Cricetulus griseus: one gene and its partner. Each later gene encodes a partner of the first gene's protein in a complex. Links are inferred from orthologs where the notes say so. Each region holds a gene or a part of one and is shown on either strand. Other genes may lie near its edges.

Region 1 (4,600 bases):
CCTTCTCTGTAACTGCATAATCCAACTGTCTTTTGTCAAGGCTCAATCTGCCTTCAGTCCCAGCACTCAGAATGTCAGGCAGCTACCAGCTCCCTAATAGTACAGCAATCGTCAATGTACACTGTCTGCCTGGGAAAGAGCATGAAGCATGGTCTGAGCCCAACAAACCCATAGATGTGGAGCTGCCCAGCATTTTAGAGGCCCAATCCCTGCCCCAGGGTTTCCAAATGGCACATGGAGAAAAATTGTTATAGAATTGTAAGACAATGCCTGCTCTCTTGGAATCAGACTTAAGGCTTGTTTTACACACACACACACACACACACACACACACCCACCCACCCACCCACCCACCCCCACCTACCTTTCTGGCCTACTTCTCTCTTTGCCTGCCTCTGCATTACATGCTGGAAGGAGATGAGCTACTTTTCCCTGCACAAACGACCCTGGAATCTTGAGTTAGTACTGGAACAAATTAAGACTCTGGGGACTATTGGGGCAGAATAATCGTATTTTGCATTGTAAGGGCACAAGTTTTGGGACTAAGGGGTATAAAGCTATGTTTTAGTAGGGTTTGTCCTCTCCAAAACACACATTGAACTTTGACTGTCAAGTGACAGGGATTTTTCTTATCTTTTTGAGACAGAATCTCATGTAACCCACACTCAAATTTACTTTGAGTAGATGAACTTGAACTCCTAATTCTCTTGCCTCTACATCTCTCTCAAATACAGGGACTGGTCTACAGAGCTAGTTCCAGGACAGCCAGGGCTACACAAAGAAACTATGTCCTGAAACAAAATAACAAAAACAAACAAAAAAACTGTTTAGATTATGTGCATGTTTGTGTGTCTGTGTGATAGCATGTGCACTCAAGTGGAGTTGCCTTGGAGGCCAGAACAGGGCGTTGGATTCCCTTGAGCCAAGGTGATGGGGAATTGTGAGACAAGCAACATGGATGGGTGCTGGGAATCAAACTTGGGCCTCTGCAAAAGCCATCTCAAGGGGCCTTTACCAGCATTTATTTGTTTGTTTGTTTGTTTTCTTCAAAACAGGATTTCTCTGTATAGTCTTGGCTGTCCTGAAACTAAACTAGCTCTGCAGACCAAGCTGGCCTTGAACTCAAGAGATCCTCCTGCCTCTGCCTCCCAAGTGCTAAGACAAAATGGTGCACCACCATCACCAAGCCCATAAAATAATTTTTTTTAAAACTCTCATTGTTTTATTTGTCTTTCTGTCATGTTTGTTTTTACAACTGTTTCACTCTGTAGCCCAGGCTTAGCCTGGAATGGACATGGTAATCCAGCCGGATTACAGGTATGAGCCATCACACTCGGCTGTCTTGTATTTCTAGGGATCTTTGACCAAGTTGAAGATAAGGTCTGTTTCATTTACCAGTTTCTCTGTGTTCAGCAGAGCCTAACACAAGACAGACCCTCAATAAAAGTATTAGCCACTATATTGGAGGCTACCTCCAAATTTCAATGCATTTTACTTCTCTTAGAACACTTATTTTCTGCCTCGAAGTAGAATTATGAAAATCCCCCTTTTGTCCCAATAGATATGCTCTTTGATAGGGCAGGTTTTAAACTCTTTATTCGGCTACCTTTACCTGACTGTACTGAGTGTTCAACAATTAATTAACACCCTCCCATGTCCTACACTTCAGGGCTCTCCCATTTGGCCCACTAAGCTATATCCCTAGCCTCAATTCTTTTCATTTCAATTGTGTGGTTTTTTTTTCCTTCTACTATCGATTAAATACTAGTCCCACGATTAACAAGGCACGGTTCTCATACCACAAAGGGCTTTCTGATTAGTCAGACATATCCCGATGTATTGGGGTGGGGGCAAACTTAGATTAGAAAAGGGTTTCCGGTCTCTTCTAAAAAGTCAATCTCCACTCCGAGAACACAGTGAGCGAGTTCGAGGCCAACCTGGGCTACTTAGTGAGATCATGTCTCAAAAGACCAAACAATCCTGGCCCGGCTTAGTGACACAGGCTATTAATCTCAGAATTCGAGAGGCAGGAGCAGGGACAAGCGGATCTCTTGAGTTCCAGGCCAGCCTGGTCTACACTGTGTATTTCAGAAAAGTCAAGACTGCATAGAGCGACCCCGTCGCAACTTCCACCCCCGACCCCAAGGCCAACCAACCATCAAACAAACCAAACTAAACCACAAAGCCAATCTACTAAAGACTCCTTAGTTAAAATAGTTACAGAAGGCCGGGCGTTGGTGGCTCACACCTTTAATCCCAGCACTCGGGAGGCAGAGGCAGGCGGATCTCTGTGAGTTCGAGGCCAGACTGGTCTCCAGAGCGAGTGCCAGGATAGGCTCCAAAGCTACAGAGAAACCCTGTCCCGAAAAACCAGAAAAAAAATAGTTACAGAAGACTGAAGCGGTCGAGTCTGAGTCACGTGGTTTTGCAGCGCGTGGGCGATGGTGAGCGCGGTTTTAGAGTCACAGACTAAACAATTCCCCGACTAATAACCTCTGGGGTTCGTTACTAGATGCAACGCCGAAGCAGGCCCGCCTCCCAGTAGCTCGGAGACGGGGGAAACGACGACCCCATCACCTTGGGGCCCTGGACACCCTCCCAGCTCCCGCAGCTCAGGGCTTTCCCACTGGGCTCCCGCTGCAGCCTGCGGACGTGGCTCTCCTCTGCACACCCACCTCCGCATGCCCTAGCAGGGGTCGTGATCGCCTCCCTCCGCGAGTGCGACACGGAGAACGTGGAAAGGGCTGAGGGCCGGTACAAGCCACAGACCCCGTTTCCTGCACGAACTCGACACCGGCCGAGCTGCCCTCGGCGCTCGCGGATGCTCACCTGTTCGGCCGACACCGCCCCCTTCCCGGTGCTGCTCCCGCTGCTCTTGCTCACACGACCGCTGCTGTCCGCCATCTTCGCCACCTGCGAGCTTTCCGGCCTGCGCACTCCCACTGCGTCACATCCGGTCTGGTAGTTACCACCCACTTGCCCCTGCGCTTCTGGCTCCAGGAAGCTCCTCTGGTCGACCCTGCGAATGGTTTTGGCGGTGGCTTCATGTAGGACCTACTCCCCAACCCTGCCCGCTGCGGTGAATTCCACCTACGGTGCTTTAACTTGTGCAACAGAGATTCTTGCCCCAGGGAGAGGCGGGGAAGGGCGCGCTAATCAGAGGGCGGGGTCCAGGGTTGGGATCTGGTCCGGAGCCCCCTGCCCACCTCGAGATGGTGGCGATCTAGGGAGAGTGAACTTGCCTTTCGAGATACTGCTGTAAGGGGAGAGATACGCGTTGAGCCTATAAAGCTGTGCAGGTGGCACAGCCGAGAAGAGAGAATTGGGGAAGCGAGGAAGGTTCCATGAGATGACTTGAACCGCGGAAACGTTTGGCAGAGGAAAGGGGCTTCAGTTTTAATGTGAGATCACTGGAAGTTGAGGTATTGAGGCTCGGATCAGTCTCCTCTCCCATGTTTCCCTTTTACGACCTCTTTCCACAGCTAATCGTGTGGGGGGATGTTTTTGAAGCCTTGGGGGAGGGGATTACTGGCCAGGCCTGGAAATGACAGAGAATTCTAGAAACATACTACTTGAAGGAAGGTTAGGTGTCCTGATTTTTCACCCTCTTCAGGCTGGGCTTCATCACCAGGCCTCCTCGCCAACTCCTGTCCCTTTTGTGTACCGGAAACAGATTGCCTCGAATCTCGGTACTTTGTACTCAGCCCAGGTAACATATTTTCTTGTTCTCTGCCTGGCACATTGCCGCTCAATCCGTGTTTATAACTGCAGTGTGGGGAGACAAAGTTGTCTGCCACCCACCAAACATTTAATAAGTGAACACCAGTAGCTCTGGGGTTATTATGCTCTGAAAGAATGGAAAGAAGTCACTAGGGATGGTGGGACACACCTGTAATCTCAGCACTTGGGAAGCAGGCAGCAGTTTAAGGTCATCCTCAGCTACATAACAAGACCTGGCTGGGCTACAAAACACCCTGTCTCAAAAAAGAAAAACATCTAGGTCTGTGGCCCCATCCCACTTGAGCCTCTGGGTTTCTCCGTGCTAGCAAATCTGAGAACACTGCCCGTGCTATTCACAGGCCCAGAGCTATGGAGGTGTCCTCCTCAACTTCCTGGGAGCTGCCCCTGGTGGCTGTGTGCCAGGTAACATCAACACCAAACAAGCAAGAGAACTTTAAAACATGTGCTGAGCTGGTTCTAGAGGCGGCCAGACTGGGTGCTTGCCTGGCTTTTCTGCCTGAGGCATTTGACTTCATTGCACGAAATCCTGCCGAGACATTACAGCTGTCTGAACCACTGGATGGGGACCTTCTGGGACGATATAGCCAGCTTGCCAGGTACAAGGGTGGGAGGGAAGTAGAATCATTACCGGGTATTGTTCCTGGATTGCCACATAAAGGGGGTAGCGCCTTGAGTAGAGTTGTCAGTGTCCCTTCTCCCCCAGGGAATGTGGAATCTGGCTGTCCTTGGGTGGTTTCCATGAGCGTGGCCAAGACTGGGAGCAGACTCAGAAAATCTACAATTGTCATGTGCTTCTGAACAACAAGGGTGAGACTTAATAACATTTTAGCTTGTCTCTTTCCAGGCTTTTCTACCTTCA
Region 2 (4,255 bases), on another chromosome or scaffold:
AGCTCAATTTGTAAATTTTTGTAACCCAACTGACTTTTCCCTAGTAAATAAGAATCATGCTAACCATACTGTTTATCTCAGCTTCACAACTGTGCTGTGTAGATGCCCCACTCACACATGAGGAAGGCCCACTGTGGCAGAGCAGGAACCAAAACCACATCGACTCTACAGTACAGCTGCCTCTCAATTCTGGATAATGACTGGTAGGGAAGTGACCATGTCCTTGAACATTCCAGGAGACCTTACCTTTCTGGATCATTTCCTTTGTCTTAGGGTGAGGCATTTTGATGAACATGTTCCCAAAGCAAACCATCACATCTTCTGAAATAGCAAACAGACATTACTTCAACACGTTTTATTTCTTCTTTTTGAAGCACTGACTATCTGCCAAGCACTGTTTGGATGCTAAGAACATAGCCCAACAAGACAAGTTCTTGCCCTTGTGGAATTCATAACAAAGCAAAAGACAGTAAATAAACAAGTTGTTTTTCCACATAGTGCTAAGTGATGGGAAGCATCAGGAGAGGTACAAGGGCTCTTTGCAGATGTGACATCCAGGCAGAGAACTGAGGAAAGGGGGGGGTATCTTCCCTAGACACCTGGGCAGAGCCCAGGCAGAGGGATGGCAACAGCCAGAACTGGCAGTGTTTTGGTGTCAGAACAACCAAGAGACCAGTGGGTCAATGAGTGGGTGAGAAAGTGGGGGCTAACATGGTGGAGTGTGTGGGGCGGGGTCATGTGGAATCAATCCTGCAGGACAACTCTGGGTTTTACTCCGGTGAGATAAGCAGCCAGTGGAATGGACGTCAGTGCCCTTCATTATGCCCTGAATGCTGCCCATCCTTCCAGAACTGCTTCAGGTTGTCCCCCACTTGCTCACACTGCCAAAGTCACAGCCACCTGGCTCATCTAAAGAGCCCCATCTCCTCCCTCCTAGACAGTCTCAACATCCACTCATGGCCAACTCCATCTTTAGCTTTCCACAATTTTCAGTTGTATGTTTACACTGCTTTTCCTCATGTGGAACATAAGGGCAGATCTATTATTGCTTCTAAGTGCTGTGTGCCATTGATGAGTGATAAGCTAATGGCCTGTCACTGAAGTGAGCAGCTCAGATCCTGAATCACAGCATATGTCTGACCTGCAACGTTTGCCCGCTCTTCCCCACAAGCTGTTTTCGTTTCCTGTGAGGCTGAGTCACACAGTCCCAGCCTCCTGCCTGCTCTCTAGCAGGGACAACAAAGGCCTTCACAGGAGAACTGCATCAGTTTCCAGGGCTTCAGTGAGGATGTTACAACTTACCAGAGACGCTCAGGTCCTTCTGTAGGGCCCTCAGGCCCTCTCGGTTCTGATTCCTCTTGGTATCCAGGTCTACAATCTGAAAACAGAAGCAGATAGGAACTCAGCTGCCTCCCGCCCCAACCTGAAGAGACAAGGAATCCTTCCTGGCTGGAGGCCAATGTCTTGGTTAACATGGACTGAAGCATGAGCGTGTTTCTTTACCCACTCAGTTGCCAGCCCCTCGGCCTGTACAGGAGCCTCCTTCCTCCAGAGCAGGTGCTAGGAAAAAGTTTACCAATTAGGAATCATTTGCACAGCCCAATTCAAACCTGAGCATGTACCAGGGTCATCAGAGAGTTTAGTGTCTCCCCTGGGCAGTTATTGTTGACAGGCTATTGTAGGAAAATCTAACAGTCTCCCCAGACATGGACGTACACCACCATGACAGCTACTCAGGCAATGACTCTGGGGCTGGAGTCCACAGGAATCCTGCTGCTTGTGAACCACAGAGGCCTTCTCACTATAGACCACAGGAGTAACTATGGCAGCTTTTGGAGACCATTTCCAAAGTATATTTCTCACCCCATCACTAACATCTGGTCCAAATCCAGATCTGGATAACTAAATTCGTGGTTCTCAGCCTGTGGGTCTTGACCCTTGGAGTCGAACAACCCTTTCACAGGAGTCACCCAAGATCACTGCAAAACATTGCAATTCATAACAGCAGCAAAATTACAACTATGGTTCCGGGAGGTGGTGGCACATGCCTTTAATCCCAGCACTCAGGAGGCAGAGGCAGGCGGATCTCTGGTGAGTTTGAGGCCAACCTGGTTTACAAAGCTACAAAGAGAAACCCTGTCTCCCCCCCCCAAAAAAAATTACAACTATGAAGTAGCAACGAAAATTACTTTATTGGGGGGGGTACCCATAACATGAACTGTATTAAAGGGTTGCAGCATTAGAAGGTTGAGAACCACTGATCTCAATGGTTCTTTGCACACTAGTTAGCAGCTAGAGAAGACTTTTAAAACCTAAGTCCCGTGCATGCACGCCTATAATCCCAGAACTCAGGAGGGCGGACAAACACGGACTGTTCAAGGCTATCCGAGATTACACAGTGAGTTCGAGGCCAGCCCCAAGACACATGAGTCCCTCTAAAGTTTAGAGTCTAAACCAACCTATCAATCAATCAAAATCCAAAGATAACATTCTCAGCACTCAGAACTCCCTTTGGAGACTCACCACTTAATCATAGATCCAGAGCCAAGCTCCCCTTTCGGGTCTACGAGGCCCTCCAGCCTCCCCCGCCCCACTCCACGTCACCCTACCGTCCAGCCAAATGCCGCTCGGGTCTCAGCAACCTGACTCACGATGGGGGTCGGGGAAGCCGCATGCAGAGGGTAAGGTTCCGGGGGGCCCGCAGGGACAGGGTCAAAGGGAGGCTACTGCCCAGCGCAGAGGAGGCGCTCGCTCCGGAACCCCGCGCGCTTGCCTGCTTACGAAGCTAGCCGCCGCCGCGTCTCTCACCTGCCGCTTGTCCGACAGCACCGCCTCGGCCAGCTCCTCCACTTCGACCAGGTACCGCATCACCCGCTCCGCTTCAGGGGACAGCATGGCGACACACAGCTCTCAAGACACCTTCGGCACCGCTTCAACGCCCCTTCTGCTCTATCCACGCACGCGCCGCGCTGAGGACTTCCGGCGCGCCTGCGCAGTGAAAAAAAAAGGGCCCTTAGAGGGGTGGCGCATGCGCATCAGCGGGGCGCCGGAGGGGCGGGTCTAGCTTTGGGAGCGGGACAGGAGCGCCCCCTTCAGTCTCTGAGGGAGCAGCCCAGTGCGCTGCCTTCTTTGCTCTCCCTTCAAAGGGTTGTTGAGCATCCACCGTGTACCACGTTGGATGGAGCAAGGAGTAAAACATCCCGACTTTAGAAATGTCGTCCCAGTAGGAAACAACGAACACTGATGGGAAAATAGTTACATATTATGGGTGGTAGAGTTAAGAGCTTTGGAGACACAGAAATCCTAAGTCCTGTTTAACGACGCCGAGAAACCGAGTGTGGCAGGGAGACTTATATTTAACCGGTGATACTTTCAGCTTCTGGTTTGTAAATAATGGGTGATAAAAATTACCCCCCCACACACACACACACACTCTCTCTCTCTCCTGAAGATGAAAAGGAAACAGTAATCATTTTAAATCTCGTCTGGCTGCTGCGTTTGTTGAATCCAGTGTCCTCAGTAGCAAGCTGAGACCCACACAGAAGGAGCTGGAAATTGTCCAGGGTGAGCAGTGAAGTGTCAGTAAGAGTACAGTTGCAAAGCTGGGGGCTCAGAGGCGAGGCCTGGGAGTTTTTGCCTCGCCGATGCCATTTTGCTTATCTGTGTATATAACTGGAATTAACCCAGTGCCTCTCACACGCTCAGCTCTGCCACTGAGCTGTATGCCATTTGTGTGGGTGTATGTGCTGTGTGTGTGTGGGGGTGTGTGTGTGTGGTGCATGCATGTAAGTGTGGGGGCACCTGTGTCCATGCAGACACATGCAGAGGCCAGAGTAGGGTGTCAGCTGCTTTCCTGTCTTTCTCCACCTTCCTGCCTTGAAATAGAACCTCTCACTGAACCAGAAGTTCGCTTTTGGGCTAGGCTGGCTAGCCAGTGAGCTCTGTGTATGTACCCAATGCTGAGGTAACAGTCCCACACAACCGTGTCTGGATTTTTATTTATGTGGGTGCTTGGGATTCGAACCCAGGGCCTCATTCTTTCAGAGTGAACACATACTCACTGAGCCCTAAGGCCCAGATCGGATGTTCACTTTTTAGTCTCCTTTATTGACTTCTGGCGACTTAGGTCCTTAATACACTGGCTCACTTGATTTTCATGGCCTCTTTTGTATAAATAGGGTCATTACTGTTAAGTTTTATAGCTGCAGGCTTAGGCTGGGAGCAGGATAGGTCAGACACAGATCTGGGGGTGGGG

What was found.
Region 2: Pfdn2 (region 1) and Pdrg1 share a complex: the UniProt entries of both Homo sapiens proteins name them as parts of the PAQosome complex. The link is inferred for Cricetulus griseus from reciprocal best matches to the Homo sapiens genes PFDN2 and PDRG1.

What each region holds. Positions count from the first base shown.
Region 1 is NC_048598.1:21,547,694-21,552,293, forward strand, and holds the start of Pfdn2 (prefoldin subunit 2), read right to left. Parts: upstream 2,960-4,600; 5' UTR 2,905-2,959; coding exon 2,830-2,904; intron 1-2,829. Other genes in the region: Nit1 (deaminated glutathione amidase), read left to right, coding at 3,400-3,401, 3,614-3,709, 4,080-4,337, 4,445-4,548. UniProt on the Homo sapiens protein: Binds specifically to cytosolic chaperonin (c-CPN) and transfers target proteins to it. Binds to nascent polypeptide chain and promotes folding in an environment in which there are many competing pathways for nonnative proteins.
Region 2 is NC_048599.1:26,995,271-26,999,525, reverse strand, and holds the start of Pdrg1 (p53 and DNA damage-regulated protein 1), read right to left. Parts: upstream 2,986-4,255; 5' UTR 2,896-2,985; coding exon 2,809-2,895; intron 1,379-2,808; coding exon 1,303-1,378; intron 322-1,302; coding exon 247-321; intron 1-246. UniProt on the Homo sapiens protein: May play a role in chaperone-mediated protein folding.